Sus scrofa: one gene and its partners. The protein of the gene in region 3 purifies or fractionates together with the protein of the main gene of each other region. This does not show direct contact. Links are inferred from orthologs where the notes say so. Each region holds a gene or a part of one and is shown on either strand. Other genes may lie near its edges.

The links.
Region 1: the proteins of RBX1 (region 3) and ARIH1 purify together in Homo sapiens (affinity purification with mass spectrometry; 3 studies listed by BioGRID and IntAct, with this or other methods). This does not show direct contact. The link is inferred for Sus scrofa from reciprocal best matches to the Homo sapiens genes RBX1 and ARIH1.
Region 2: the proteins of RBX1 (region 3) and FBXW7 purify together in Homo sapiens (affinity purification with western blotting; 8 studies listed by BioGRID and IntAct, with this or other methods). This does not show direct contact. The link is inferred for Sus scrofa from reciprocal best matches to the Homo sapiens genes RBX1 and FBXW7.

Annotation. Positions count from the first base shown.
Region 1 is NC_010449.5:60,817,390-60,827,660, forward strand, and holds the start of ARIH1 (E3 ubiquitin-protein ligase ARIH1), read right to left. Parts: upstream 6,401-10,271; coding exon 6,029-6,400; intron 1-6,028. Other genes in the region: uncharacterized protein LOC110261568, read left to right, coding at 6,399-7,199. UniProt on the Homo sapiens protein: E3 ubiquitin-protein ligase, which catalyzes ubiquitination of target proteins together with ubiquitin-conjugating enzyme E2 UBE2L3.
Region 2 is NC_010450.4:76,685,268-76,695,480, forward strand, and holds part of FBXW7 (F-box/WD repeat-containing protein 7), read left to right. Parts: intron 1-1,172; coding exon 1,173-1,296; intron 1,297-3,307; coding exon 3,308-3,444; intron 3,445-4,482; coding exon 4,483-4,596; intron 4,597-5,872; coding exon 5,873-6,054; intron 6,055-8,265; coding exon 8,266-8,491; intron 8,492-10,213. UniProt on the Homo sapiens protein: Substrate recognition component of a SCF (SKP1-CUL1-F-box protein) E3 ubiquitin-protein ligase complex which mediates the ubiquitination and subsequent proteasomal degradation of target proteins.
Region 3 is NC_010447.5:7,509,362-7,519,674, reverse strand, and holds the start of RBX1 (E3 ubiquitin-protein ligase RBX1), read left to right. Parts: upstream 1-4,810; 5' UTR 4,811-5,385; coding exon 5,386-5,455; intron 5,456-5,896; coding exon 5,897-5,940; intron 5,941-6,367; coding exon 6,368-6,446; intron 6,447-10,313. UniProt on the Homo sapiens protein: E3 ubiquitin ligase component of multiple cullin-RING-based E3 ubiquitin-protein ligase (CRLs) complexes which mediate the ubiquitination and subsequent proteasomal degradation of target proteins, including proteins involved in cell cycle progression, signal transduction, transcription and transcription-coupled nucleotide excision repair.

The DNA of each region.
Region 1 (10,271 bases), on a different chromosome or scaffold from region 3:
GGCCAAAAACCAGCCAGTGAAAAATCTGAGGCCTCCCAACAACCACACAAGTGAGTCTGGAAGGGGATCTTCCCATGAGTCCAACCTTGATAAATGCAATCTAGCTGATACAGAGACCCTGAGACAGAGGAACCCAACTAAGCTGAAGCCATATCATGGCCCATATAAAATGTGAGGTGTTTTGTGTTTTTAAGCCACTAATTTTTAGGGAAAATATAGAGCTAAAGATAACTAATACATATAGCTGCCACAGGTCAAGCCCAGAAGAAAGTGATCTAGTCTGATGATTTCTGCCTTTGTCCGAGCTTCTACAATCTTATCACCCATAATTAATTGTTTTACCTTAGCCGACCTCACCATTACTGGAACACACCTTCCTCATTTTTATTTCAATTTCTTCGAATGGCTTCCTATCTGTCCTTTCTATCCACCTAAATCCTAGACATCTTCCAGATAACATCCACAGACCTCTATTATTATCCATTTAGCACTGACCTAATAGCTTTGAGGGTCTAAATTCAGAGAGACCGTGAACTCCTAGAGAATAAGTTTCATATTTTTTTCAATATTTAATGCAGTACCAAGCAGGTACACTGACAGTATCCAAAGACTTCATATCTCTTCCAGTGTATCAAATAAAGAAACACAACTATTTTTGTTTAAAAAACACCACCACCACCACCAGTGTGTGGGGAAGGGTGGAAGAAAAACCAAGTCCTCCAACCTCAAAAGAAAGATGTCAACAGTCTGGCTTGCAAGTTTGAAATGACTGAATAAAGATCACCTTATCTGAAAAATAACAGTAACGATAATAAATCCGCTTCATGATTAGCCTAGTAAGTATTGACCAAACTCTTAAAATTTCTTGAACAAATTGCCTTCCATCAATATCGCACCTCTACAGTAATTTATCACTAGTAATTATAATGGAGAGCACTGCTGTTAAATTTCAACTAGACCAGTGGTTCTCAAACTTCAGCTTACATCAGTATCACCTGGAATGGCTGTTAAAACAGACTGATAAACCACAGTTTCTGATTCAGAGGATTAAAACCATAAGCGATTCAACAAGAATTAGTTTTATTTAGAACTTAGAGCTCAAAGAAATCAGCTGGGAAAAGATAAAAATTCGAGAGGAATAAACCATACTGACACCTTAATAGCTACAACACACACACATCGCATCTCCCTCAAACAAGTGAACCAATTTATTATTATCATTATTATTATTTTTTAGGGCCACACCTGCGGCATGTGGAAGTTCCCAGGCTAGGAGTCAAATTGGAGCTGCAGCTGCTGGCCTACTCCACAGAAACACAGAATCAGGATCAAAGCCACATCGGCAGCCTACACCACAGCTCAGGGCAATGCCAGATCCTTAACCCACTGAGTAAGGCCAGAGATCAAACCCGGATCATCATGGATACTAGTGGGGTTCGCTACCACTGAGACACAACAGGAACTCCAAGTTGATCAACTTAAATTCATCTTGATATGCACACTTCAATTTCTTGGAAAAAGTGAGAATCTCCAATTTACTGAGCCTTTAAAAGGACTTTAGGAAAACAAACAAAGCATTAACATAAAAAAGGCCAGTCTAGTAGTTAACTTCCCAGATTTAAATTAAAAAAAAAAAAAAAAAAAAAGCAAAGCCAAACAAAAACTCAAGGTTCTGAGATGTAAATTAACCTGTCAGTTTAGAAGAAAGTAATGGTTAAAACTGACTTCCAAACCAATACACAATACACTGGACTATACTGCCTCTAATTTATGCATGAAACTTTACCTTAGAAGTTCTTTAATATTTCAAATAAATAAATGGGTGAAATAATAATTAAGATTTCAAATCCCATCGTGGTACAGTGGAAAGAATCCAACTAAGAACCATGAGGTTGCAGGTTGGATATCTGGCCTCGATCAGTGGTTTAAGGATCCTGCGTTGCCGTGAGCTGTAGTGTAGGTCGTGTAGGTTGCAAAGGCATCTCTGATCTGGCGTTGCTGTGGCTGTGGCGTGGCTGGCAGCTACAGCTCCAATAAGACCCCTGGCCTGGGACCCTCCATATGCCACAGGTGCGGCCCTATAAAAAGACAAAAAATGAACCAAAGATTTCAAATCAACAAACAACAGAAAGTTTCCCTCATGAAGGTTACATATTTCAGGTGTCTTTAATACAGGTTATTTAGAATAATAAATCTTATAATAAAGCAAGACGCCATCCACTTCTCTTTATGCCTCCTCTCTGTTCACATCCAATAGTCCGATGTGCCTCTTCTTCAGCACATCCTTTTTAAATGTGGTATTAAGGGTACTGTCATACTCTACTACATTCTTCCTAAGTGAGTCAAAATCATGACACTGGATGAACTATGACTATTCCAGAGGTTTGGAATTATCACCAGAGTGACTAAAAATATAGAGATGCTTAGGCTCCAATTCAGACTTGACTAATGAATAACAATCTCTGGGAATGGAGCCCAAGGACCTCTGTGTTCCCCATCTCTATGCTTCTTAGTTAAGAACCATGTCCTCTACAGTGACAAGCACACACCCAAGGCACAACCGACATTTGCTGAATATTGCTATGGAAATACAAAATGGCAAAGTTAAACATCCTTCAAATACAGAGCTATATAATGTTAGTTCAATAAATTACTTAGCTATTTAGGCAATTACATTAAATAATCACAGTAATTTTAATAAGTTAACTATTGTAACAGTAACAATAGTAGTTAAGTAAAGTTGGGCAAACCAAAGGCTATAAGCACCTACCATTGATATAAAGTTAAAGAAAATCCTTGATCTTTTCTTAAAAGTTCAAAAGGTAAGCTAAGTAGCCACAAAGGGTTTAAAAAAAACAAGGCCAAATTAAACAAACTATAACAAGAGTTAGAGAAAGCCAGAAAACCAAGAATTTCCTAAAAGAAAACGTGTTAACTTATTTGAAGACTAGAACTAATTAGCAGATATCTACAAATAACAGTATTAATCTGTTGCCCAGAACTACTCTCAGAAAAAGTAACCAAATTCCCCCAGGAAAGATTAACTTGGTGACCTTATTACATTTCAGTCTTTCTCTCTCAAATTCACTAGTATACCTGATTTCATATTGAAAAGTAGCACCAGGGAGAAGGGGATTTAAATTTTTTAGAATTAACAGTAAGCTCCCTAAGGTGAACTAAATAAAACAATGGTTCTAAAATTACTTAAAATATACATTAGACCAACATTAGTTTTAACTAAAAAACCTACATGTGTGATATGTAAAGCCACTATTAATATAAACAGGTCTTATAAATCAATAAAAGACAAACATCCCCAAAAGGGGTAAAACAGCAAAAGCAAAGGGCAATTTACGAAAGAATAAACATGTTAGAAGTTCAACCTCTAACGTGTTAGAAGTTCAAAAAAAAAAGGAAATTTAAAAAATGATGACCATTTTATTTCAATCAAACATCAGAGGGGGGAAAAACTAGTATAAGTATTTCTGAAAGCAGTGTGGTAATACGTATCACATGCTTTGAAAATAACCAAGCTCTTTGACTCAGCAATTCAATTTATTCTGAAAAATAGACATTCAAAGATTTACCTATAAGGATATTTCCAAAGAGGCTTATAAGACAGAAACTAGACATTAAAAAGAGCAAAATAATAAAAGACTGATTAAATAGTTTAGATCTATAAAAATGTAAGCACTTGAAAAATCGCTACTTTTTGACAAGACAAAGTTGCTGACATTCCTTCTTTAAAATCATTCTTTTTTCTAATCTGCTTTTTTCTACTAAAAACATAAAGAGAATACAGGGTTTGATTCTGTTATTATTTAAAAAACATCTATAGCTTAGTCACAGGTCTGGAATAATGACCACAGTTCAAATTCTGGTATATATCTCAAAGTGGCAGGTAAAATAATTATTTTTTTCTCCTTACCCAATACCTGTTTTCTAACAGTATGTTACCTATGTAACTTTTTAAGTTTAAATTTAACAAACATAACCTATAACATAACCAAAGCCTAGTTTAGATCTAATGTGTACTATTTGGAGAGGAAATGGTCTGGGCTAACTCCTATCCTTTGATTTACTGATATTCCTAAATATGAACTTTTAACAAGGGAAAGATACTAAGATATTGTGCAATTCTATTTAAGAGCATCCTTAACATGGAGTAGAATAGCAGTTTTCTTCAAAAATCTGTTATGGAAACATGGTTAAAGCAGGACACCTAAAAAAAAAAAAAAAAAATCCCTAGTATTTTGTAGGTCTGAGTTCAGTTCATCAGCACTTACTCCTTTCCCCCTAAACTAACAAAAAAAAGATATCATATGCATTAGCTACATCTTTGTTCCAGAAATGACATAAAGAATTTGTAAGGTTTGACCTCAGTGATTAAGGGCACACTTAAGAGTTGAAAAAGTTGGATGAGATTTAACTACATGAAAACACACCTAAGTTAAAAAATAAATAGCCATGAATTTTTAAAGCTAACTAAAATGCCAAAAAACCTAGGTAATAAGTTTGAAAACCACTTTATAGATTTGCTATATACTTTATACAGTAAATAAACAAAAAAAAAGAATTCAAAGTTTCACTGTAAATTCAAGTTTCCTCAAAGAAAGAAAAATTTTCAATTTAGTGACCTAAGACCTCAACTGTCATATTTTAAGAATTAGAAAAAAAAGTAAAACTTATCTTTCTTCTACAACCCTTCAATTCTCTCCTCAAACTACATTATCTATAGGAAAGTTTGAGATTTCCACTGTTTAGTAATAGCACTAGATATCACAGATTTTTTTAAACTATTATTCAAAGCAGTCTTCCAATAGGCCTACATAGATAGTTCCATTTTCAAAAGAAAGTGTCGCCTACTAAACAATACTGTAAAAAATCATGCAAACTTCACAAGTAGGCACTGACATACTACTAATTTACCAGTGAATATTAGCCAAGCAATTTTAAGGGGGTGGGGGATTGGTTATGACTGACATACAACAAGACAATAGTAATCTTCTGTTTATGTATATATAGTTTCTTTCCATGTAACCAGTGTTTTCTAAAAGTTGCAGTGAATCAAGGCTTCATTTTTATTCTTCAATCACATCCCTGACCCCCATGACTGTTTTTCCCAAAGAGAAACTTTTGACGTCCTAAGCTCAAAAACAAAGTCCGACCCACAAGAAGGTTAAATGAGATGTGGTTATCAATTTAAACCAAGACCAACTTAATGACCACGAAATACAAATTATTAGAGAAAGGGGGTGAGTCCAGAAGCAGAAAGCCTCTACTTACTAACTCACAATAGAGGCTTGTCCAATATTAAACAATAACACTACGCTTTGCTGTTGTTTTAGCTGCAAGGCTGGGTATGCAATTCGCTGCAACTGTTCCAACAGCTTAAGTACGCTACAACTGAAAAAAGTAGTAGTTGGGTCCCAAACAAATAGCAAAGATTTAAAAAGATGCAAGCAGAAGCCTCACCATCAGAAAAGAAGACCCACGAACACCTCTTCCAAGAAACACTTCCCTTCCCCCACCTTTAAGTAGGCACTTAAGACTGCCAAGCAGATCCATTCCTTTATTAACTGGTGTCCACTTGGGGCAACCGTACAACAAGCAGCTCTTAGGCCTACTCTAACCCCTTCCAAAAGTGCTCAAGTGAGGCTGAAGGCCGGAGAAACAGTCTTAGGGGCCCAGTTCTTCCAGCTCTTCTCCACTCTGCCCTGGTAGGTGCTCCATGGGCCAGAGGAGTAACACCGGGGCCAGGACCGGCAGGAACTGCGTCCAAGAGAGAAGTCTTAGGCGGCCGGAGGCCTCCGCCATAGCAGGACCTGGAAAGCACCGCCTCCAGCGCACCTCCCCACACCCGGCAAATGTCTGCTCTACCCCCAGCAGGGGCAGCGGAGGAGACAGGGCTGGGAGGTACCGGGCTGAGCTGAGCACCAGGCCCAGGCCTGCCCCTCGGGACCGCGCGAGCAGCACGAATCCGCTCCTGGGTCCAGACCGATCAAGCAGGCGTGGGGGCCACTCTCACCTGGATGACCTCGTTGACCTCCCGGATACATTCCACCATGTGTTGCAGAATCTGCTCGGCTGTGAGCACCTCGTAGCGGTAATCCTCCTCCTGCTCGTGCCCCGACCCGCCGCCGCCGCCGCCACTGCCGCCGCCGCCGCCGCCGGGCCCCAGAGCACTGCCGCCGCCACCGCCCGTCTCCCCGCCCAGCAGTCCGTCCCGCTCCCCGCCGACGCCCAGCTCAGGCTCCACCAGCTCCACCTCGCCCAGATCCAGGTTATCATCGTCCGGCTCGTCGTCGTCGTCGTCCTCCTCCTCCTCGGCGCCGCTGTCCTCCTCGCTGCACTCTTCGTCCTCGTCGAACTCGTAGTTGTACCCCTCGTCCGAGTCCATGGCGCGACGCGCGGGGGCCCGGCAGACGCTGGCCCTAAGGCGGGGAGAGGGCGGGGACGCCGAGGCCCCGGCTCTCGCTCCGGCTCCGGCTGATGTCCGGACGCAGGCCTGGCTCCGGCCCCGCGGGCCGCAGCTCCTCCCCGGGCGCGGCGGTTGGCGGTTGGCGGCTGGCGGCGGCGGGGAGGGCGCGGAGGAGGGAGGGAGGGAGCGAGGGGGCCGCTCGTCGCCCGCCTCAATCAGACGCGGCTCCGCACCGGCCTCGGAGAGAAAACAGTCCCCAGCGCCACCTCCACGGCCGCTGCTACCGCTACTGAGCCAACAAAGGGGCGTGCGTCACCGCGTCGCGCTGCGTCGTGGCGTCACTGTTCTTGGCGTCACCGCGCCCCGCCCCTCGGCCCCTGTGTGGAGTGCGGGGAGACCCCACGGCCGGGGCTGGCCCTGGGAGCCAGGCGCCGCGGGAATCGCCGCCTGGGTTCCCGCTGCGTTCGCTGTTCGGACGGACGCTGGCCGACACCAGCTGACAGTGTACTTGAGGAGGCTGTGGCCTCCTGGTCACCGAGAGGGGGCCCTTAGGCCGCCCCGGGAGTGGTTTTGCCACTGGCTATGGGGATCCAGCCATTCGCGCAAACCAATGGGGAAGGCGGCCTTCCCACCGGGCAGTAAAGACCCTTCCCGCCCAACCTGGAGTAATTCCAGGAAGACCTTGGATGTTGAGCTAATATTCCTGTTGCCTGGGCTACTCAGAGGATTCTGTTTTATGCAGAACCTCTCAGCCACGCAGCAGGTGTTCTCGTTTTAAGTAATTCACTTGACTCTGTGCCCTGGTACAGACGTGCTGTGATTTAAGTCGCCTGTAGTGACGTCATTTAAAAGAAGCGGTCTCTAAACTCCGCTCATTAAGCGCCTATTCAAGGCCAGAACATTGGCAAAGTCGTGGCTTGCCTTAGTTGAGCACTGTGTAAGATCTATAATCTATAATCTATACGTATGAATTATAATATTAATATATAATACAACATATTAAATATGTAATGTTTTTTCTCATCGTCACAGAGCCACAGTACCTGTGTTATGCCTGAGACTCAAAGAGGAAGAGACTTGACCAAGGCCACAGAACACTTGCCCTATTTTAGACCCTGGGTGACCTTAAATATCGATCATAAAAACACTTTATAACGTATAGTATGTATTATATACTGCATTGTATATAAAATGCATTGTAAGACAACATAAGACCGGTAAAAGAAATATCTGCAGGGACCAAATAAAGCAGAGAGATAGTGCTTGTCTTTTATCTGGAAATGTGCTGTTTGAGCTTAGTGTTGATAGATGGCTAGGAGTTTAATGGAAGGTAGGGAAGATGGTCGAGCCTGAGAAAATAACCGAATTTTGAGTTCCCTGGCGGTGCAGCAGGTTAAAAGTCCAGCATTATCACTGCAGTGGCTTGGGTCGCTGATGTGGCACGGGTTCAATCCCTGGCCTGGGTACTTGCACATGTGGAGGGCACATGGCAAAGAGAAGAAAAAGGAGAAGGAGAAAACAGCAAAAACAATAGCGCAGTAGGTGTAAAGTAGTTTAGTTTGAGGAAGGGCAAACGGCAAGTTAGTGGCCAGGACAGTAAGAGTAATTTATGCCATTCTAACATTAGACTTAATTCTTTGTTGGCAGAACAGGAGAACCAGAGAAATGTTCTGAAGGGAGAAGCATAAGAAAACTCCCTCTTGGGATAACTTGAATAATTGGCCAGATTGGAAATCTTTTAAAGCCCGAATCCCTAACTTACTGATAAATCTTAATGTTGAACCTACAAATTCCCTTTGGAAATTTATTTTGAAAAGTGAAAAATTCCTTTACAATGTATGTTAGCCTCTACTAATTTGTCCATTTTGTAATTTCTTTTTTAGCCACACCTGCAGCATATGGAATTTCCCAGCTGCAACTTCAACCTATGCCACAGCTGTGGTAACAGTGGATCCTTAAGCCACTCTGCTGGGCCAGGGATGGATCCCCAGCCCTAGCAGCGACCCGAACCACTGCAAAGACAATGCCAGATCCTTAACCTGCTGTGCCACAGAGGGAACTTCCATTTTGTAATTTATTTTTTAGAATCAAATTTCCTAAAGTAATCTTAGGATTTGCAAATTAAAACTTTGAAACATCAATGCTGGTAGGTCTTGGTCCTTTGGTCCTGTTTTTATTTAGCAATTATAGGTTGTTGCCACAACTGGGGCAAACTAAGGATACTAGCAACCCTTCTCTCAACCCCATCTCCATTGTTATATACCTATGGGAAAAAATCAGCCACACTTATCAGTACCCTAAACTCCTTTGCCCCATCTTTCCTTTCATCTGCTTCTACCTTGAGTGAACCCTACCATCCATATCCTCCCCTTTGGTACTGGAGCAGCTGACCACTACTGGAGAAATTTGCGTAATCACATGCATTCTGTTATTAAATTTCAATCGCCTACCACAACTGAGCTCTCAATACCACAGAGCAGTCCTGTTAAATTTTTCTAAATTATTCTCCTACTCTAGGCAACCTTTTCAAACCTTCACCAGTTTTTCAGATCCCCAACCCTGCCCTTCCAAATCCTCTTAAAGTACATGACTTTACATAACAGAGAATTCTGAAATCATAAAGACCAATGTGACTGAAGCATACTGGGCAAAAAAGAGTGTTACTGGATAAAGTTAGAGAGGGCAGATCAGGGCAGGAGGTCAGTAGGACCTTGTAGGCTGCCTTAAGTTTACATTATTACAATGGGAAGCATTAACGTAGTTTAAGCAGAAGAGTGAAGAGTGAAACCATATGTGTGTTTTAACAACTATGGGTGCTTTGTGGGAAATGGACTATGAAAGCAGAGACCAATTGTGAGGCTCAGTAGTCAGGTGAATAATGATAATGGTTCAAGTTAGAGTTGTGACAGTGGAGATGTCCTTGCAAATAGCTAGAGTGTGAAGTTGATAGAGGAATTGAGGATGCCTACTAAATTTGCGGCTTGAGCAACTGGGTTAATGGTGGTTCCATTTACTGAAACATATTAAATTTGAAATGCTACTAGACATTGAGGTAGAGATGTTGAATAGGCAGTTCTATATTCTAATGTACAAGACTGAATCAGGTCAGAAGTTAGGGCTAGAGATAGAGTTTCACCAAAGTTTATTTCAACAATGTTGAGAAGCAGCATAGGCTAAAGTTTAAGAGGTTAGACTCTGAAGGAGACAGAGCAGAATTTACCTCTGCCCTGCTAGTTGATGTCTGTAACTTTGAACAAATTACAAAGCTTCACTTTGAAGGATTATAATTCCAGTTTTCATAGGACTATTTATGAGTATCAAATGCCTGGCACATAGTTACGTGTTCACAAAATTAGAATTTTTAAAAAGTGTGTATAAGTCACCTTGTATCTTTTGGGGAAAAAAACCATAGCTAATTGGATTTATAACCTTTTAATTGATTTTTTTGATTACACAGGTATGTATATGGCCTAAGTCATCCCTGTTTTCCAGGAAAGAAAACTGGTCAGCTTGTTTCTCAAAAATCTTTTCCATAGTCTGATGACTTCTTTTTTAGTCAGTATCATGGGCAATGTCATAGTGATTCTGAATTTTGGGGTCTTGATTCATGGATTAAACCATCATAACCAGATTCTCAGCAACAATCATTCCATTGGTATTTTTAAAAATACCTTAGAATCAGATTAGTTTATAGTGCTATTAAAGGAAACCAGTATAACAACTTCTCTCTGGCCACTAATTGGCCAAGGGATGACCCACATACAATGTTTTTTAAGTGACTTGATCTTAAAGGTATTGCCTGTGTTACTGATTTCTCAGCTATGATGATTACTGGGTGGAAGTATAGTAG
Region 2 (10,213 bases), on a different chromosome or scaffold from region 3:
AGTCAGCATCTGTTCTGCGAAGAAGTTCAGTCTGTCCTTTTTTCAGATTCCACATGTCAGTGATAGCATTTGATGTTGGCGTCTCATTGTATTGCTGACTTCACTTAGCATGATAATTTCTTGGTCCATCCATGTTGCTAAAAATGCTGGTATTTCGTTCCTTTTAATGGCTGAGTAATATTCCATTGTGTATATATGTACCACATCTTCTTGATCCACTCCTCTGTTGATGGACATTTAGGTTGTTTCCATGTCTTGGCTATTGCAAATAGTGCTGCAATGAACATCAGACTACATGTGTCTTTGTGAGTCATGGTTTTCTCTGGATAGATGCTCAGGAGTGGGATTGCTGGAAGAAATCTCATTTCTCAACTTAAATGAAATATTGTAGTGAGGACAGGAAAAGACAAATTTTAAACAACCAATGAAGTAAATAGTAATAAATTACTTATATATAAATAAATAGTAGAATTCTTGAGTTGAGGCTCACAGAGCAAAGGCAAGAGAAGAGGCAGAGAGGTTTAATAAGTATTCCTTGGAGTTCCCATCATGGCACAGTAGTTAACGAATCCGACTAGGAACCATGAGGTTGCGGGTTTGATCCCTGGCCTTGCTCAGTGGGTTAAGGATCTGGTGTTGCCGTGAGCTGTGGTGTAGGTTGCAGACGTGGCTCGAATCCCGAGTTGCTGTGGCTCTGGCATAGTCTGGGGTAGGCTGGCAGCTGTAACTCCAATTTGACCCCTAGCTTGGGAATCTCCATATGCCACAGGAACGGCCCAAGAAATGGCAAAAAGACCAAAAAAAAAAAAAAAAAGTATCCTTAAAGCGGTGAGGAGTTAGTGAAGTTTATAAAAACCAACACTTTGTTCTTAAATCTGGCATATATTAGAAGGTATTACTTTTTATAATTTTAGAAATTAGAATGTTGAGGTATATTACATTTATCTATAAGTACTTCATCCTTAGAGAATGACTAACTTATTTTTCATAATTAAAAAAAGATGCAAGTTTTGTTGGGGGATTTTTTTTGGCCATAGCCATGGCATGTGGAAGTTCTCAGGCCAGGGATCAAACCCAAGCCACAGCAGTGACAAGGCCGCTTCCCTTAACCCACTGAGCCACCAGGGAACTCCACAGAGATACAAGGTATGCAGCACTTTTTCTTTCCACAGCTGGCACTTTATGTGCTTTCATTCCTGGAACCCAAAGACCTGCTACAGGCTGCTCAGACGTGTCGCTACTGGAGGATTCTGGCTGAAGACAACCTTCTCTGGAGAGAAAAATGCAAAGAAGAGGGTAAGATTCAAAATCACATAGAGGAAATGTCTGTAGTTCAAAAAAGCAAGTGATTCTGAAAACAAACAAAAAAAATAAGTTTTATGTGCCCATAGACTAAAGTGGTAGGTAAGTTAAAAGAGAACTTTGGCAGCCTGTCAAAGAATCAAGATTGCGTCTTCATTTGTATTGACCTGCTTCTGTAACATCCACAGGTTATTCCACACATTCACATGAGCCAGATCTTGCTTCTAACCCCTTTGATGAGCACTGTAACTGTTAGTAAATATATCAGACCTGTTTCCCAGTCTCCAGTAGAACTAAACTATGAGAAAGTCAAGATGAGGATGACTTAAAGAGAATCCCAAAGTTAAATTAGCAATTATATACACAGATATCTGTATTCTATTCATGCCCTCCACAAGTACTTATTGAACCCCTCTTATATGCTATATATTCTTATATCCTGGGGATATAATGATAAACTCCCATTTTCTTCCCAGCATGGAGCTTGTGTTCAGAGCCTGGCGGGCGGGGGGGAATACTCTTTCTGGTTTTTGTTTTTGTTTTTTGTCTTTTTCTCTTTTTAGGGCCACACCCACAGCATATGGAGGTTCTCAGGCTAGGGGTCTAAAGTGAGCGGTAGCCGCTGGCCTATACCACAGCCACAGCCACTGCAACACCAGATCCAAGCCGTGTCTGCAACCTCATGGTTCCTAGTTGGATTTGTCTCCTCTGCACCACGACGGGAACTCCAAAATCCCCTTTCTTAGTAAAGGCATCGATATCATCCATATTAATTTAAGAAAGGTCTTTTTTTTTTTTTTTCCGGCAGGCATCTAGAAAAATATTTTTGAAAAAATTCTGGAAAAATATTATTTGTTTTTGGCAAGCCAAATTTTTAAGAAAGAACCATAGACCATAAGACAGAGAGGCTATGGGTTACCTTCTCCTTCACGGAGGTTGCAGTTGAGTGGCAAGCACCGGTGGTTAGTGAAGCCTAGAGGTGAGGATACTTGTTTTCTGATCCTGCCTCTGCCCTGTCTGTGGCTTCGACCAATCAGTGACATCTTCTCAAGTATATATAAAGTGGGATTAACCATCTCATAGAATCATTATTTTAATGACTCTTTAAAATGGTGATAATTTATACATAAAACAGGATGTATCTCTTGAACCATTTTTAAGTGTACCGTTCAATAGCATAAAGTACATTCCTCTTGTCGTGCTTCCATCACCACCATCCATCTCTAGAACTTTTCGTCTTACCCCGCTGAGATGCTGCCCATGTAACGGTGACTCCCTATCCCTCTCCATACCCCGCTCCAGCCAGCCCTGGCAACCACCGTTTTGTTTTCGGCCTGTGGATTTGACTCCTCTAGGTACCACATATTAGTGGAATCATGCAGTGTTCGTCTTTTTGTGACTGTCTTATGTCACTTAGCGTGATGTCTTCACGGTTCATCCAGATGTGTCGGAGTATCTGCCCTTTCTTTAAGGCTAAATAACATTCCATTGTATATATCAACCACATCTTTTTCTCCATTTATCCATCGACAGACACTTGTGTTTCTCCCACCTCTTGGCTGTTGTAAAGAATGCTGCCGTGAACATGGGTATACAAAAGCCTCTGCAGATCCCTGGTTTCAGTTCTTTTGGGTGTTTGTCCAAAAGTGGAATTGCTGGATCATATGGGGTGATTTTAGGCTTAATTTATTTTTGAAGAACCGCCATACTCTTTTCCATAGCAGCTGCATCATTTTATATTCCCACAAGCATTACACAAGGGTTCCAATTTCTGCACATCCTCCCCAACGTTTCATAGAATTATTTTGAGAGAGAAATGAAGCAGTCGGTATGAAGCATGCCATACGGAATGCAAACTTCATTGTTTTGTAATGCCAGCGTTAGAAATTAGACAGTGTTCTGCATTTCAGGGGTTTTGAGCATAGGGGAAAATGAGCTACATTATAAAATTGTAATTTGTATTTTTGGTGAAGGCAGTAATACACTGACAATTTTTAAATTTTAGGTATTGACGAACCACTGCATATCAAGAGAAGAAAAGTAATAAAACCAGGTTTCATACACAGTCCATGGAAAAGTGCCTACATCAGACAGCACAGAATTGATACTAACTGGAGGCGAGGAGAACTCAAATCTCCTAAGGTAACTGAACTCTCACACGATGTAACAGAAACCATTAATCAGTGTTAGTACTCAGTGTACTTACTCTTCCATTTCTTGGCAAGCAGTATAACGTGACAACTCATCTCCTGTGGAAAGAAAACAATATATTTTAAAATAACTGAAAATGTAACTGACAGTATTCCTCCTTGCTAATTTCTCTAGTCTGACAAATGATTATACTTGAATAAAAGATGAGTTAACTTGCGTGTTCTATTACGTGTAAACGAAAATTTCCAAATATCCTGTTGAATTTTGTTATATACATACTACCTAAGAATTTGCTCCCTCTCTGACCACATAATCCAGGCATGATTTTTTTTTGAGTAATACCCATGTTTGAGGAGGTGACTTTTGTGTGTTTTAATTTTATACATTTAAGCATAATTCTGATTTTCTGCCTTATACCATTTCAAGTATGTAAAGAATGGCAGGGGAGTTCTCTGGTGGTGCAGCAGGTTAAGGATCTGGTGTTGTCCCTGCTGTGGCTCGAGTGTCATCCCTGGGAACTTCTGCCTCGAGCATGACTGAAAGGGGGAAAAAAAATAGAATGGCAAAAATCCTTGAAACACTTAGCTCTATTTTTTCAATTGGAAAAAGGAAATTTGGGGAGACATTTCCTATTAGTATGTATATATATTTTTGGTTAAAGTTGAAAAAAGTTGATAATTACTATCTTTCTAGTTAGTAGGTACTTTGGTGTTTGACAAGTTACATTCTTTTGGTTTGAACAATAGGTGATTATAAAATACATTTGTGTTTGAACCACCTTTATGAGGTCTTGACTGAATGAAATTTTAGTAGTTGATGCCTCAAGTATAAATAATAGAATATGGAAACAGTAAAATGCTTAATACTTAATTCCTCTGCCAGGAAGGATGCTTTATATTTTTTTATAAATTTTAGTTTTAGAAAGACTACATATTACTGCTGCTATTGGTGGCCTCATTTTTCTTTTCACCAGTATTTTAAGAACTCTGATCGAGTAACGTGTTCCTGATAGGCGCATCTGTGTTGTAGGTGCTGAAAGGGCATGATGATCACGTGATCACATGCTTACAGTTTTGTGGGAACCGAATCGTTAGTGGCTCTGATGACAACACTTTAAAAGTCTGGTCGGCAGTCACAGGCAAAGTAAGTTGACTTCTTTCTACCCTTCGTAAAGTCACCATTTTGTGTACATCTTTGCAAGGATCAGCCACTGGAAGGAAGACAAGGATTCATTTCATTTTTGACTCTAGCTTATTTTGATAGGAGATATCAGAGCTTCTAATTTAGCTTTTTCCTTGGCATGAAAATGATGTTTCTCATGATAGGGATGTCATTAGTTTCTTCTTCATCTAAATAGTTTGTCTATCTTTGTGACTTAGCTATTTTAAGATTTTATAGATGTGCTTTTTTTTTTTTTTTTTTTTGGCTTAATGTTTCCTGCTTTTATTATCTCCTTCCTTTTTAATCTTTTTCAAAAATATGATTGAGGAATTTTTTTCTTGTAAACTGCTTTAATAGCCTACCTATAGTTTAAAAGTTAAATAAATCATGCTAATTTTGACTTACCTCAGATCCTATAACATAGAAGTTAAGCAGCCTAGTTAGTTAAATAGGAATTTGATGGGAAAAAAAAAGGCAGCCCAGGCAATCAGTTTCATTGCATACAATATTATACTCTAATGCCTCTCTACTGAATATTTATTTTTATCTGTCCAATGGAAAATATTTTCTTGAATTAAGTAATTGACTACCTAAAAAGTAATAGAAGAAAGAGTGTGTGGGAGGTGGAATCTGTCATTTCAGTGTTGCATAGCATGCTTATTTGGGGGCAAGAATCTTCTATTTAGAAGAATAGTTATTCCAAGTCAGATGTTAAAAACTTTTAAAACAGCTTCATATTTCCATAGTGTAATATTAGTTTTGGATTTATTTCAGGGTTTTAATGTCTGTCTTTACTTGTCTAGAAGTACCTTGCCTGGTTCCTAGCTACTGCCTTGGGGCAGATTCAGATGAAATGTGGTATGTAGCCACACCCAACACTGTTGGCGTTCTTTCATTGAATCCATTCCCATGGAAGAAACCAAGCTGCAATTTTAGTATTATTTTATCCAAGAGGCCAGGCTAGAGCTGTCATACTTTAGCAAGAAAGGTTTCCTTTCAACATACTTGATCCTCAGTTGTGTGTGTGTGTATGTATGTGTGTGTGTGTGTGCGTGTGTGTAATCTGCAATGCTGGTGAATAAACAAAGCAATAAATAGTGATGGGATCCTCTTATATTGATGTGAAACATTACTTTCTAATACGCCAAACATTCCAACTGAGTTAGTGACTTTACTCCAGATTTTAACGACCTGCTGAGATGTTATTTAAACTGGTTTTCTTTCTACCCAAAAGTAATCACCTTAAGTGTTTTTCCAGTGTCTGAGGACATTAGTGGGACACACAGGTGGAGTGTGGTCATCACAGATGAGAGACAATATCATCATTAGTGGATCGACAGACCGGACTCTCAAAGTGTGGAACGCGGAGACGGGAGAATGCATACACACCTTGTATGGACATACTTCCACTGTGCGTTGTATGCACCTCCATGAAAAGAGGTGAGGGAACACCCTGCCGGTTGGGAAGTTTTCCTCTGTTACTTGTGAACCTGGAGCCTTTTGTGTAGCGTTCCGTCGTATTACTGTGTCTAATAGACAGTGATAACGTGCTCTTAAATTAGATGTTAATTAGTCAACTTCAGATGTTCTCTGCCAGGAAAACCATGGTGTCTTGCCTTAAAATCGGGCAGTTGCTTTACGCTTCCTTCCTCATTTAACAGTGTTCTTGGCCTTCCCCTTGAACCTCTCTATTCTCTAATCTTGACTAATACCTTACTTAATTTTTCTAAATCTTGGATGATGCATCATCATAAAAAAAAAAAAAAAATTGGACGGAGCGTATATTTCTGGAAGTAGGACAAATTCAGTTATTCAGTCTTCAAGCCTCTGAGTCTTTACTTACCCACCTGCCCTGCCCCGACTCGGTCATAAACTGGGTCGTCTCAGGCAGAAACCGAGGCCTGTGGGATTAACTTATTCTCCTTACCTATCACCCAAACTATGGACATAGCGTTCAGACTCTTACACAGAACCTCCTCTAATTACCGTCGTATCACTGCTGACCGAATTAACAAAGAAACCCTCAATCCGGTTTCCAAAATAGTTTCAGCCGAACCAGACCGCTTGCCTTTTTCTTCTCAGCACCTTCGCTGTTGCTTTTATCTCCTCCTGCAAAGCTTCCCTGTGCAAGTCCCTTCTGTCTCCTGTTCGTATGCATGGTACTCCTGTTAAACAGATGTGATTTCTGTCCCATTTGTCGGAAGAGGTCTCTCTGAAGGGTCCTTAGAGTGAAGCCACTCCAGTCGTCACCGTTAATTCTGTCCGTAGCATCTTCCTTATTAAGAACCATTACATTAAGCAGATTTCACTCTAGATTTGTAATATGTGAAGAAAAGTACCTTTTCACATGTAATTTGAATCTGCTCTGAACAGTGCACGCTGCTGTTAAAACTGGGGGGATTGGTATCCAGAGACCTTGCATTTCAGTTGCCAGTAGTTTCTGACTTCAGTCTCTCAGTGCTTCCATTTTCTACTCTTCCAAACCTGGAAACTCTTTACCTATTTGGAATGATGTAAATTCGCCTGAGTTTTCAGCTTGCCTTTGTAATCCAAAGGTAACTGGAGTATTTCTATCAGTCTGGTTCTCAGAAGAGTATCAGTTTAATAATGTTGGGATGATTTTTAAGGGATTTCTGTTGCCTCTACCTACGTTTCTTCTGTAATCTGTATATCTTTTTTTTTTTTTACCATTTCTTGGGCCGCTCTCGTGGCATATGGAGGTTCCCAGGCTAGGGGTCTAATCGGAGCTATAGTCACTGGCCTACGTCAGAGCCACAGCAATGTGGGATCCGAGCCGCATCTGCAACCTACACCACAGCTCATGGCAACGCCGTCAACCCACTGAGCAAGGGCAGAGATTGAACCCGCAACCTCATGGTTCCTAGTCGGATTCGTTAACCACTGCACCACGACGGGAACTCCTGTAATCTGTATATCTTAATGCTTTCCCTGGCCTATTGACTAGTTTTAAATATAAGCATAAAAGCAGCCTTTGTTTGAGGATATGTTGAAGACTGGTTAATTTGACCAGAGTATGTGGTGTAAAGCACATATCTTTAGCTTTTTAAATGCCAAATTCCGATGTGTTTTGTTGAAATTTTTCCCTGATCGCAAAGGAAGTATGTGTTCATTATTAAAATTTGGGGACATGGCAGAAAGAATAAAGAAAATGTCAATTTTTCAGACAACTACCACCCATTAACATTTTACGCATGTTGCCCACCTCAGCATTTTATTTCTAACATCAAGATCTGCTTGTATGTATTCAGAACTGGCTGCTTCTGCTACTCCTGCTGCTGTTTATTTACTTTCTCTGACTTCTTTTTCCTCTTCTTCCTCTTTGTCTTTGCTAATTACAGTACAGTCATTTTCACACTGTTCCATGGGACCCTAAGCTGCTCCTGGAGCCCTCAAGCAGTGGGGGAACCCAACAGGCAGGAGTCTAGGCTTTCCAACTGCCTGTCCCCACCAGAGTCACTCAGCCTGTAGAGGTTTATATAGCAAGGTTGGTTTTATCTAGCGTGTGTTCCTTTTGAACGCAAGTGTTGCTGCTTAAAAAAGGAGAAAAGTTTTCATCCCCCCTGACTTCATATATCCGGTTTTCCCGTGTTATTAAAATGCTGCTGCCTTCTTTTCCGTTTCTCCCTGCAGAGTTGTTAGTGGTTCTCGCGATGCCACTCTTAGGGTTTGGGATATTGAGACAGGCCAGTGTTTACACGTTTTGATGGGTCACGTGGCAGCGGTCCGCTGTGTCCAGTACGACGGCAGGAGGGTTGTGAGCGGAGCGTATGACTTCATGGTGAAAGTGTGGGACCCCGAGACGGAGACCTGCCTGCACACGTTGCAGGGGCACACCAACAGGGTCTACTCGTTACAGGTAGGAGACCCACCTCCCGCTCCTGAGTGCCTAGTGATGCGGCGGCAGCTTGCCTCACCTTGATGGCCACTGCACGCTGCTGGTCCAGTACAGCCCAGAAAAAGCCCAGTTGAATTATTCTCTTTACCTTTACCTTAACATTGGCAGGAAAAAGCAGACATTTTGAGATGACTGAAATGATTTGTTTCCATTTTTCCATGATTCATTTCCTTCTAAAACACAAATATTTTGTCTTGGAACCTGAGCCTTTGGGGCCCTAAATTTTGCTGTATTAATTAATGGGTACATAGTCTCACAGGAGAATAACGTGGATTTTAATAAACTCCTTAGCAGAGGATTAATTTGGCCAAAAGCTGCCCTTTTTGCCTTGATAGCTGGAAGTTGATGGACCTTGTAATTGCCACTCCATTCAGGGCAGAAGCAGAGCTTTCTGCTCAGAGCTGTGCTACCATCACAGGGCCGCTGGTTTGTAGTCATGAGGAAGTAAATTTAATGAAACTGATTTTTGATTTTGTTTTCATTTGAACCTGATATCCCAGAATAGATTGCCATATTTTGCCATAAATAACTAGATGCATAGCAAGCTTAGCAAATGGGTCTTGTTTCAGGTCCTAAAAGACAAAACTTTCAGTTCAAAAATATAGCTGACCCTTGAACATCATGGGACTCAGGGGCGCCGACCTCACCCCCACCTACCCTCAACTGCAGTCGGATACCCTTACGCAACTTTACACCTGGCCCTCGGTATCTGCACGTCCGCATCCAAGAATCCAAGTAATCTCCAATTGTGTAGTCTTGTAGTAGGTGTTTAGTGAAAGAAATTTGAGTGTAAGCATGGACCTTTGCAGTTCAAACTCAACTTGTTCAAGCAAGGGTCAGCTGTGTTACCTATTCCTTACATGTAGTTTCTTTACCAGTTACTACCCATTAGTGATCAGCAAATTCATCTGTAGTCCCAAGGCTCACAGTTCTTTTCTTGGGGTATTTGTGTCTTAACTGTTGGATTACTATCTATGTCACGAAATATTGACATATAGTAAAGATATCTGTTAACTTAGAAAAGTTTATGAATTTGGAGGAGAGGGAATAGGCTGCAATTGTGTTTATGTTTTGTGATATGCTCAGACCCATAATGAATAAAATAATCTCATTTAAATAAACTATTAGATTGAGAAAAGAGGTAGCAACATTATTATAGATCTGGGAACGGGTAGGTATTTATCGACCTGGGGTATAGCTGGGAAGCTGGAGAAGAGGTACTATATATACTTTGGTTTTGTTATCAGAATGCCACTTCTAATTCTAAACATTATTATCTGGCGTTGGGTTCTTATAAATGGAATTTTTATTTGACATACAGCTTTTAATGGAACTTACTTTTAAATATCATGAAAGTTATCTCTAGCCCTTTTCTGCCTTAGGGGCTGTTGATAAGCACACCCTGTATCATAAGCCACATCAGTAGCTTCAGCTTCCTATTGGGAAATAAAACTCAAAGAGCAATCATCGCAGTGTGGCCAGATGATGGGAATATATGTTCATTTTAGGTGTTTGTTTTTTTTTTTTTTAATATTGTTTTTGCATCTAGTTTGAAGCCACTGGCTGGAAAAAAAAAAAAAGCATTTCTGGTTTGTTTGTTTGTTTTTTGGGGTTTTTTTTTTTTTTTTTTGGCTTTTTAGGGCTGAAAGTGCAGCATATGATAGCTCCCAGGTTAGGGGTCGA
Region 3 (10,313 bases):
TTTTCTGTTTTTTTTTTTTTTTTTTTGGCTTTGCCTGAGGCATGCAGAAGTTCTGGGGCTAGGTATTGAACTCTCACCACAGCAGTACCTCAGCCACAGCAGTGACAATACAGAATATTTAACCTGCTGAGCCACCAGGGAACTCCCTACCCTATGGCCCTTGAAAAAGAATACGTTATGCTGCTGTTATTGGGCAAATTTGATTCGATCCCATTGGTTATTGGTGGTGTTGAGTTCTTCTATATTCTTGCTGATTGTCTAGTTCTATCCATTGTTGAAAGGGAGGTGCTGAAGTCACCACTCTAATGGTGGATTTGTCTGTTTCTACTTTCAGGTCTATCGGGTTTTGCCTTACATGTTTTGCAGCACAGTTTTAATGTGTATACATTTTGGACTGCTGTGTCTTCTTGGTGGGCTGACTTTTTTTGTTTGAGCATTTATAAAGTCCTCTCCTTTCTCTGGTAATATTCTTTGCTCTAAAGTCTACTTTATCCAATATTAATATAGTAATTCCAGCTTTCCTTTGAGTAATGTTTGCAAGATATATCTTTTTCCGTCTTTTAACTTGCACCTTTCCTATATCTTTTTTTTTTTTTTTTTTTTTTTTTTTTTTTGTCTTTTTGCTATTTCTTGGGCTGCTCCTGCGGCATATGGAGATTCCCAGGCTAGGGGTCTAATCAGAGCTGTAGCCGCCGGCCTACACCACAGCTCACAGCAACACCAGATCGTTAACCCACTGAGCAAGGGCAGGGACCGAACCCGCAACCTCATGGTTCCTAGTCGGATTCGTTAACCACTGCACCATGACAGGAACTCCCCTATATCATAATTTTTGAAGTGAGACAGCATATATTGGGTCAGGCTTTTTTAATCTCCTCTGCCAATCTCTGTCTCTTAATTGGTATATTTAGACCATTTACATTTAATGTAATTATTGATATAAGAATTAAGTCTATTGCTTCATTTTTTGTTTTGTTCTCTTTGTTTTTCACATCTTGCTTTTTGTTTTCTTGCTTTCCTGTGAGTTACATAAACCTGTTTTAGAATTCCATCTTGATTGGTCTATATTTTTGAGTGTATCTCTTTTATATTTTTAAAATGGTTGTTCTAGTTATTACATTATATATACATAATAACTCATGACAGTATACTAGTGTCTTTTTTTTTTTTTTGTAAGGCCCAAACCCACAGCATATGGAAGTTCCCAAACTAGGGGTCAATCGGAGTTGCAGCTGCTGGCCTATGCCACAGCCACAGCAACACTGGATCCTTAACCCACTGAGTGAAGCCAGGGATTTAACAGATTTCCTCATGGATACTAGTCAGGTCATTACTGCTGAGCAAAAACTGGAACTCTGGTGTCATAATTTTACCAGGGAAGAATAGATAACTTACTTTCCTCTATGTTCCTTTACCCTCCACAGTTTATAATTTTCTTAAATATTTCCTCCATATATATTTAAAACCACATAAGACAGTGCTATAAGATTTACTTCAACTGTTAAACATGATTTTGAAAACTCAAGTGGAGAAGGGAAGCCTGTCAAATTTACCTGTTGTTTTTTTTTTTTTACTGTTTTCTTTCTTCTTCCTGTTGTTCCAAGCTTCCTTGTTTTATTGTTTCCTTCCTGTTTTATTTAATTTAATTAATTTATTTATTTATTTTAGGGCTGCACCCTCGGCATATGGAAGGTCCCAGGCTAGGGATCCAATCAGAGCTACAGTTGCCAGCCTACGCTACCGCCACAGCAAAGCAGGATCCGAGCTGCATCCTGCGACCTACACCACAGCTCATGGCAATGCCGGATCCCCAACCCACTGAGCGAGGCCAGGGATCAAAACTATATCCTCATGGACACTAGTCAGATTTGTTTCTGCTGCACCATAACGGGAACTCCATCCTTCCTGTTTTAGAGAACTTCCTTTAGCCATATTTTGTATGGTTCTGCTAGTAACAAAGACTCTCTTCATTTTCCTTCACCTGAGACTTTTTTTTTCCTTTTTGGTTGTGCCCTTGGCAAACAGAAGTTCCCAAGCCAAGGATCAAACCTGCACCACAGCAGTTACCCAAGCTGCATCAGTGGCAATGCCAGTTCCTTAACCTGCTGCAACACAAGGGAACGCCCATCTGAAACTTGTGGGGTTTTTTTGGTAACAATTTTTATTTGTTCCATTTCAGTTGCTTTGAAACTTTTTTGATTGTCCCTTCATTGCTGAAGAATATTTTATTTTATTGCATTTGTCTTTAAAGGGCCTCATCCATAGCATATGGAAGTTCCCAGGCTAAGGGTCAAATTGGAGCTGTAGCTACTGGCCTACACCACAGCTCATGGCAACGTGGGATACTTAACCCACTGAGTAAAGCCAGCGATTCATGGATACTAGTCAGGTTCATTACTGCTGAGCCACAACGGGAACTCCTGAAGAATATTTTAATTGGGTATAGGAGCTGGGTTGACAGTTTATTTTGTTTTTTCCATCCTGAAAAAATATTTTGCCACTTCTTTCTGGGCCTCCATTATTTGTGATGAGAAATCACTCATTCAAATCAATTTTCCTCAGTAGTGTTATTTTCTCTGGCTGCTTTCAAGGTTTTTTTTTGTCTTTAGTTTTTAGAAGTTTAATGGTGATGTGTCTCGGCATATCAATTTTTACTCAGTTTCTTAAATCTATAGGTTTATGTTTCTTGCCAAATTTGAGAAGTATTTCAGCACTTACTTTACCAATTACCTTTTCAGCCTGGCCCATGCCTGGCCCTCTTTGTCCTTCCATTCTGGGACTCTTTGTGTGTGTGTGTGTGTGTGTGTGTGTGTGTGTGTGTGTGTGTGTGTGTGTGTGTGTTTGCCATTTCTTGGGCCGCTCTCGAAGCATATGGAGGCGCCCAGGCTAGGGGTCGAATCGGAGCTGTAGCCACCGGCCTACACCACAGCCACAGCAACGCGGGATCTGAGCTGCGTCTGCAACCTACACCACAGCTCATGGCAACACCGCAACACCGGATCCTTAACCCACTGAGCGAGGCCAGGGATTGAACCTGTGTCCTAATGGATGCTGGTCAGATTTGCTTCCACTGAACCACAATGGGAATTCCTTTACTGAGATTTTTTGAAGCATTTATTTGTTGACTTGTGTGTTACTTCCCTACCAGAAGTTTCACTCCTTCATCAGTCTCTCCCATCTATAATAGTACCTGGGGTATATATACATTATGAGACCTATATACATACATAGGACCCCAGGTCCTATTTCATATATATTTATATATATATAATACATAGTTAATGAATACATATTATATATATAGTTACATTCAGTGAAAGTGTTGAATGAAGGATAAATATGCCCTCGATACCTTAATTTACTATGGGTTTCTAGTATTCCTGCGGGAACACAATAAATTAGATGACAGAACTCTTGATATGGAATCATTCATTTAACAAAACTTGGTCTTAGAAAAACTTGGTAGTGTTCCTACTAAAACTTTAAGGTCTCTCACAAGTCTTCTCTCTCTACTCCGGTTAAAGCTGCGGCGTTTTCACAGATTTGTTTTCCTGTTTAAAATTAAGACAAGGAAACAAACCCTACTTCTGGTTTAACAGTGGAGTCAAGACCATCCATTACTCTTCAGCTTTCTTTTAAGAGAAGATACGAGATTTCAAATAAGCCAATACAAGATTTAAGAGTGATCTAGCAGTCATACCTCTGCAAGATTAGAGATGAAAAAAAAGTGGAGAGGTGGTCTACAAATGGGAAGGTGATAGAAAGCACAGGTGCTTTGGCTGGAAAGGTGCTATGGCCCAAGGAGGCTAGGACCTCAGGCCGGGCTCAGAAGTGGGTCAGGATCTGAGAAAGACCACTAAGAGTGAGGTCTTGGGTTTCCGCAGCAGGAGGCGGGACGCCCACCCTCGCCCTTTCCCCGGAAGAACGCGACGAGGACCCGCGGGCACTGGAGCTGCGCGGCGGCGGGGAAGGATAGGCTGTGCGCGGGCTGCAGGTCGCGGCCGAGGCGGAGGAAACAGCCGCCGCCCCTGCGGAGGGAGTGAGGCCGGGGGCTTCCCGAGGAAGGGCGATGAGAGCGAGTCCTTTCGAACATTTCCACCCGGCTCTCTCGCGTCGGCCCGGCCCCGCCCGGCCCCGCCCCAGCAGCTCCGGCAACCGCCTCCTCCCAGCCGACGCGGGGTAGAGTGGGGGGCGGGGGGAACCAGCACCAGCGCCTTTAAGAGGCGTGGCCACACGCTCCGCCCCCACTTGCCCCTCGCGCGCCAGTGAGGGGTGGGGTGCGGGAGGAGGTGTCCGGACGGGAGGGGGAGTGAGACGTGCGCTGGCGCGCAGGCGCAGTAACGAGACGACAGATCGTGTGTTTCCAAAATGGCGGCAGCGATGGATGTGGATACCCCGAGCGGCACCAACAGCGGCGCGGGCAAGAAGCGCTTTGAAGTGAAAAAGGTTGGGTCTCGCCAGCGCCTTCCTCAGGGAAACTAGAGAGGCGCGGATCTGGCTGGCAGGCCCAGGATGACCAAGGCGCGGAGGAAAGGGCTTCATTTCAGGGCGTTCCGGGGACCGGGTACCACCAAAGGAAGCCGGGAGGCGGGTCTTAGGGTTGATCGGCGTGACTGCGGCCCACTGTCAGTGCCAGTGTTGGTTTCGCTCGGAGGCTGAGGGGCCAATCACGGAGGTGCTTATTGAGATGCGCGGGGTTGCGACTTGGATGCAGGAGCCAAGCGCCTGAGCTGTCACTGGAGTGGTGGAGGGGTGGGGAAGGCGAGGGTGGGGCGGGTGGAAGGGGGAGTCGAGGGCTGCGGTGGGTGGAGGATGGGACAGTACGGCCCAAGCCGGGAACCTGAGGTCCTACCGCATTGGAGGCTTCTGAGGACCGGGCTAGTGATCTCCGTGCCCCGCCCCTATCCAAAGCTTGGGGTCCCTCTGAGGAACCTCGACCTGGTCCTCGCCTAATCGAGGCCTCCATTAGCCCTCTCTGGCCCTCGCCCCTGCCGAGTTAGTTTCTCGAGTGTAACTCTTGGCTCTTCTGAAAGGTCTGTTGATTTGTTACACAGCCGCCCCAGTCCTGCGGTCATATCCAGAATCCCCATCCGAAAAAAAAAAAAAAAGGCATGGTGGAATTTGTTAAAAAGAAAACGGAGCCCAAGTATTGTTTCAAGTAGGGAGGGTTGAATACAAGTTGCGAACAACCTGGTAAAGTGGGAAAGAAGAAATGTGGAACGTGTCTTTTTGCATGAAATGCCTTACAGTGATTTGCCAGCAGTTTGGGAGAAAAGTGCCCATCCCACATTAGATAAAACAAATCTGTCCAAAATGAAGATTCCAAATAGGGAAGATTTTATCCCTGGAACATCTAGCTAAACCCTGACGGTATTCCCCCGTCTAATGCGTTTTGGCGTTTCATTGTGGGCACTGCATGCTCAGTTACAGCCAGCAGCCATATTGAAGAATAGAAGTAAGATTTTTTTTTTCTTCTTTCCTCCAAGTTGAAGCTGTCGGTGAAAAGTGTTGAAGAAGTTGCTAGACATTGAAAATTAGGTTTGAAGGAGATGAAGGTTTGGGACGTGTCACCAAATTAGGGGGTGAAAGGGAGTTTGGGAATATTTATTGCAGAAGCCAGAGGTTGAATTATTGAAATACCACTTTTAGATAAACTCTTAAGGAAATTATCCTAGCTAAATATAACAGTCTGAGCATATAAAAGTTGAGAACATCAGCTTATTTGATGATAGGAACTATACGAAATTCCAGTGAATTTTAGAGTTTGTTGTGAAATAATCTTATAAGATTTAAGCGATGACCTTGTTCTATGGACTCACACTGGGTAGTTATCCAGCTTATCCTACGATTACCCGTTTTATGATCCAATCAACATCTTAGTTCATTCTCTTCCTAGCCTTCACCTGTCCATTCCTGCGTAAAAGCTGCCTTGAAGAGCAGGTATTTATGCAGAAATTGAGCTCTTTTGCAACTGCCAGGAGAACCTGCACAGTAATTCAAGTTTGTGATTATTAGACCTAAAACCGACACTTATAAATTATTCCTGATTTATTTATATTGATATGGCTGACTAAATTAAACTGTAGGAAAAAATAAAAGATGATATTCATTTGTGTTTATATAGTTGACAGTTTAGAGAATGGGTAAGCATACGTGTAGCCTACTGATGCTCTCTGATATAATTTTAAAAAAAAGAGTCATGTAACATCCAGAAACTCTTGTTTGGTGGTCTTTGTGGCCAAAAAGGTGATAACTACAGGATGAAATCCTGGAGTGTGTGTGTGTATGTGTATGTGTGTGTGTGTGCACGCGTGTGCGCTTGTGTTAAAAGAGTAGCATGCATTGTTCCCCCTTTTTCTCTTTGCAGTGGAATGCAGTAGCCCTCTGGGCCTGGGATATTGTGGTTGATAACTGTGCCATCTGCAGGAACCACATTATGGATCTTTGTAAGTAATTGGAGGAGGATGGGAGGAAGTTTGAGAAGGTTACAGAGATTGCAGCTATCCTGATGTGACCAATTTTCTTCTTCACGAGGAAAGATAAAGTATATTCTTAGCACTTGGGGACTTCTGCATTTGGTGTGTTGGTATGTTTGAAATAAAGTAATTTTTTTAGGGTGTCCTGAAGGCATATCCATCTCTCAGAATAAGGCTATTCAATCTAAAGATAAGGCCACATTTAGAATGAATTGCGGGCACAGAGGTACTGTTGATTATTTCTTCTCCATTTCCCATCTTGCACCCAGACTTAAAGGCAAAAATAGTGAAAGAAAGAAAATTAACTTTGAGCTAAAATATCCTAGCAGAGCAAATGTTTGCTGGGGAAGATTTATGAAGAGGTCTAAGGAGTATGCATTTTCAGTGTTAGCCCCAAATGTAGTTAACATCACTGCCAACATCTAAATAGGTAGTTAATTGCTCTAAGAAAATTTCATTTAAATTTCCATATAGTCCATTACACATAGTGGTCAGCACACAGTAGGTTTAATTATAGCTGTTAATGGACTTAGTATTTCTGTAGTACTAGGGGCAAGAATTATTGATCACACCAGGAGCAGTTGAGGTTACTTTTTATTCAGTTACTAAAATGGTTTGTTACTGAGATCAGAAAGAGGACAAAGAAGAGTTCCCGTCGTGGCTTAGTGGTCAACAAACCCGACTAGTATCCATGAGGACGGGGGTTTGATCTCTGCCCTTGATCAATGGGTTAAAGATTTGGCACTGCCGTGAGCTGTGGTGTAGGTCACAGAAGTGTCTCAGATCTGGTGTGGCTGTGGCTATGGCGTGCGCTGGCAGCTACAGCTCTGGTTCGACCCCTAGCCTGGGAACTTACATATGCCACAGGTATGACTCTAAACACACACACACACACACACACACACACACACACACACACGAAAGAAATAGGGCAAAGAAATTTCAACGTTCTAGAATTGAAATTTTAACTTATTTTGAAAACCACATACGTGCCTCTTCAGCTTTATCTCGAGCCACTCTCCTTACTCTGGTAGTACCCTGGCTTTCCTTCTATTCTGGAACTATCCGTGGTCTTGTATAGAGCTCTTACATATCTTGTTCCCCCTACTGGAATATTCACCGCCTCTTCTCCCCCTTATCTTTTTCAAACCCAGCACTATTCAGTCTAAGTGTAAGCCATAAATATGAGCACATATGTAATTTAAAGTTTTCCAGTACTCACATTAATGAAGTTAAAAGAACAAGTGATTTGTATTGTATTTATCCTATTATTTCCAAAATATTTTTATTTCAGAATGTAATCCGTATTTAATTAGTGAATTAATTAATTGGGGGGGCTATCCATGTGTCATGCAGAAATTTCCAGGGCAGGGATTGAACCCAGGCCACATCAGTGACAATGCCATATCCCTAACTGCTAGGCCACAAGGAAACTCCCCCTCCCCCTTTTTGTAATCAGTATTTTCTTTTTATTTATTTATTTATTATAGGTCCACATATAGGAACTTTCTGTAATCAGTATTTTAAAGTGAATTTTTTTTTTTTTTTGGTACTAGGTCGTCACAGTGTATTTTACTCTTCAGCACATCTCAGTTCAGACTAGCCACATTTCACATGCTCAGTAACCACACTTGGCCAGTGTCTGCTTTATTAGGCAGTGTAAAACTAACCCATGATTGGTCTTGGGATCCTACCTTGAACTCACTCAAAGGTGTTTTCCGTGACCCTATGTCCATACACACAAACACAAGCTATGACAGTTCTGTTAAATATTTCTAAGACATCCTGTAGTGTCCTTTATAGCAGTTATTTGATTTGGTTGGTTATTTATAAGTCCATGTTATTTACTCCTGTGTTTCCAGCATCTAGCCTAGTGTCCAGTACATAATAGGTTCTCCCTCGATATTTGCTCAGTTAATAATAAAAACAAAATAGGGGACTCGTCTGTGACCATTGCAATTTGGAAAGCACAAATCAGCCATTTTGTGTTGGTAGTTTGTGGCCCTTGGTTTCTCTGAGTTTTGACCCTGTTTACCTTTTCATAGGACAGTCCAAGCAGATCAGCAGCTACCATGATGTTTAGTATAAAGAGAAGGCACCTATCACAGAAAAACACACGCCCAGTTTTAAATGTGCTTGGGTGGGGGTTTTGATTACATGCTTGCCAATTTTTTTTTTGCTGTGCTTTTTCACAAGGGGTTTCACCCAGAGAAAATTTTACTTTCTCAGGGCTCTCTTTTGTAACTAGTTAATAATTTTATATAATCCAGACTTTTTTTTAACATCTGTATTTAAGTCACTGTGTTTCTTTCTGCATGCAAGAGAATGCACTTCTTGGGAAGATGGTAGCAGACAAAGGCCATTGGTATTCTGTCTTAGTGTTGAATGATTGAGGGGTTGATGTGGGCTTTTAGTTAGGCACCTGCTTTACTATATATTTTAATTTTTTTTTCTGTCTTTTTGCTATATATTTTAAATGTCAGGCGAAGAAGTAGAAGATTGAACTCCTGTAACAATTATGAAAGTATTTTCAAGTCATATCTTTTATTCATTTGATGGATATTTATATTCTGGGCCTTTTGCAGGGCTCTAGGATAAAGCAAGGACTGAATCAGGGCTTTACCCATAAGAAACATATACGCACTAAAGAGGAATCTGGTTGCCATTACTGGGCTTGTCTTCCTTTCAAAAATAGATGAATTGGGAGTTCCCATCGTGGTTCAGTGGTTAACGAATCCGACTAGGAACCATGAGGTTGTGGGTTTGATCCCTGGTCTTGCTCAGTGGGTTAAGGATCTGGCGTTCCCGTGAGCTGTGGTGTAGGTTGCAGACGTGGCTCAGATCCTGCGTTGCTGTGGCTCTGGCATAGGCCGATGGCTACAGCTCCGATTAGACCCCTAGCCTGGGAATCTCCATGTGCCGCGGGAGCGGCCCAAGAAATGGCAAAAAAAAAAAAAAAAAAGAAAATAGATGAATTATGATTCTTGTAAAAAGACTTTTTGTTAAAGATGAAAATAAGAATCTTGATTTAACAATGACCATTTTCTAGTAAGTTCTTGTCTGCCATTAAATGAATAGTTACATAAATACTTAAGAGTGGTTCTGGCTCTGTTCTGGTTGAACTCACCTACAAAGCATTCTTGGTCTGAAGACTTCCTCTTTGGAATCCAGATTGATACTGCATGTCCTGCTCTCGCTTTGTACTTACTGTGCATCACCCCGTTTCTCGGCTGTTTTCGAGTTGCTGAAATACATGGTCTTTTGGGTGTAATTTCCTCCACTGCCTCAGGTAATCTTGTTCCTCAGGTGAAAGGGGCATCCAGAAGTGCTTAGACCCAGACTTTGCCCCTAAAAAAGTTAGTCTTTTCCTAAAACCACAGATCCATCAGTGTTTTCTTTTTTCTTTCTTTCTTTTTTTTTTTATTTTTTTTATTTTTTGCTTTTTAGGGCTGCACCTGCGGCATATGGAGGTTCCCAGGATAGGGGTCTAATCAGAGCTATAGCTGCTGGCCTACGCCATAGCCACAGCCATGCAGGATCCAGCCACGTCTTCGACCTCCACCACAGCTCACGGCAACACCAGATCCTTAACCCACTGAGCAAGACCAGGGATTGAACCCGGAACCTTATGGTTCCTAGTCGGATTCGTTTCTGCGCCACAACAGGAACCTCTGCCATCTCTTTGAATATGATGCATTCGGAATCCTGGTACATTCTTGAATATACTGCAGAGAGCCTAGATTCTGCACTTTTATCAGAAGGAAAACCAGTTATTCTTTTTGTAGTGTGAACCTGGGGAGCAAAAGCAAGTTCTGTGATTTCAGAACCTTTGCCTTT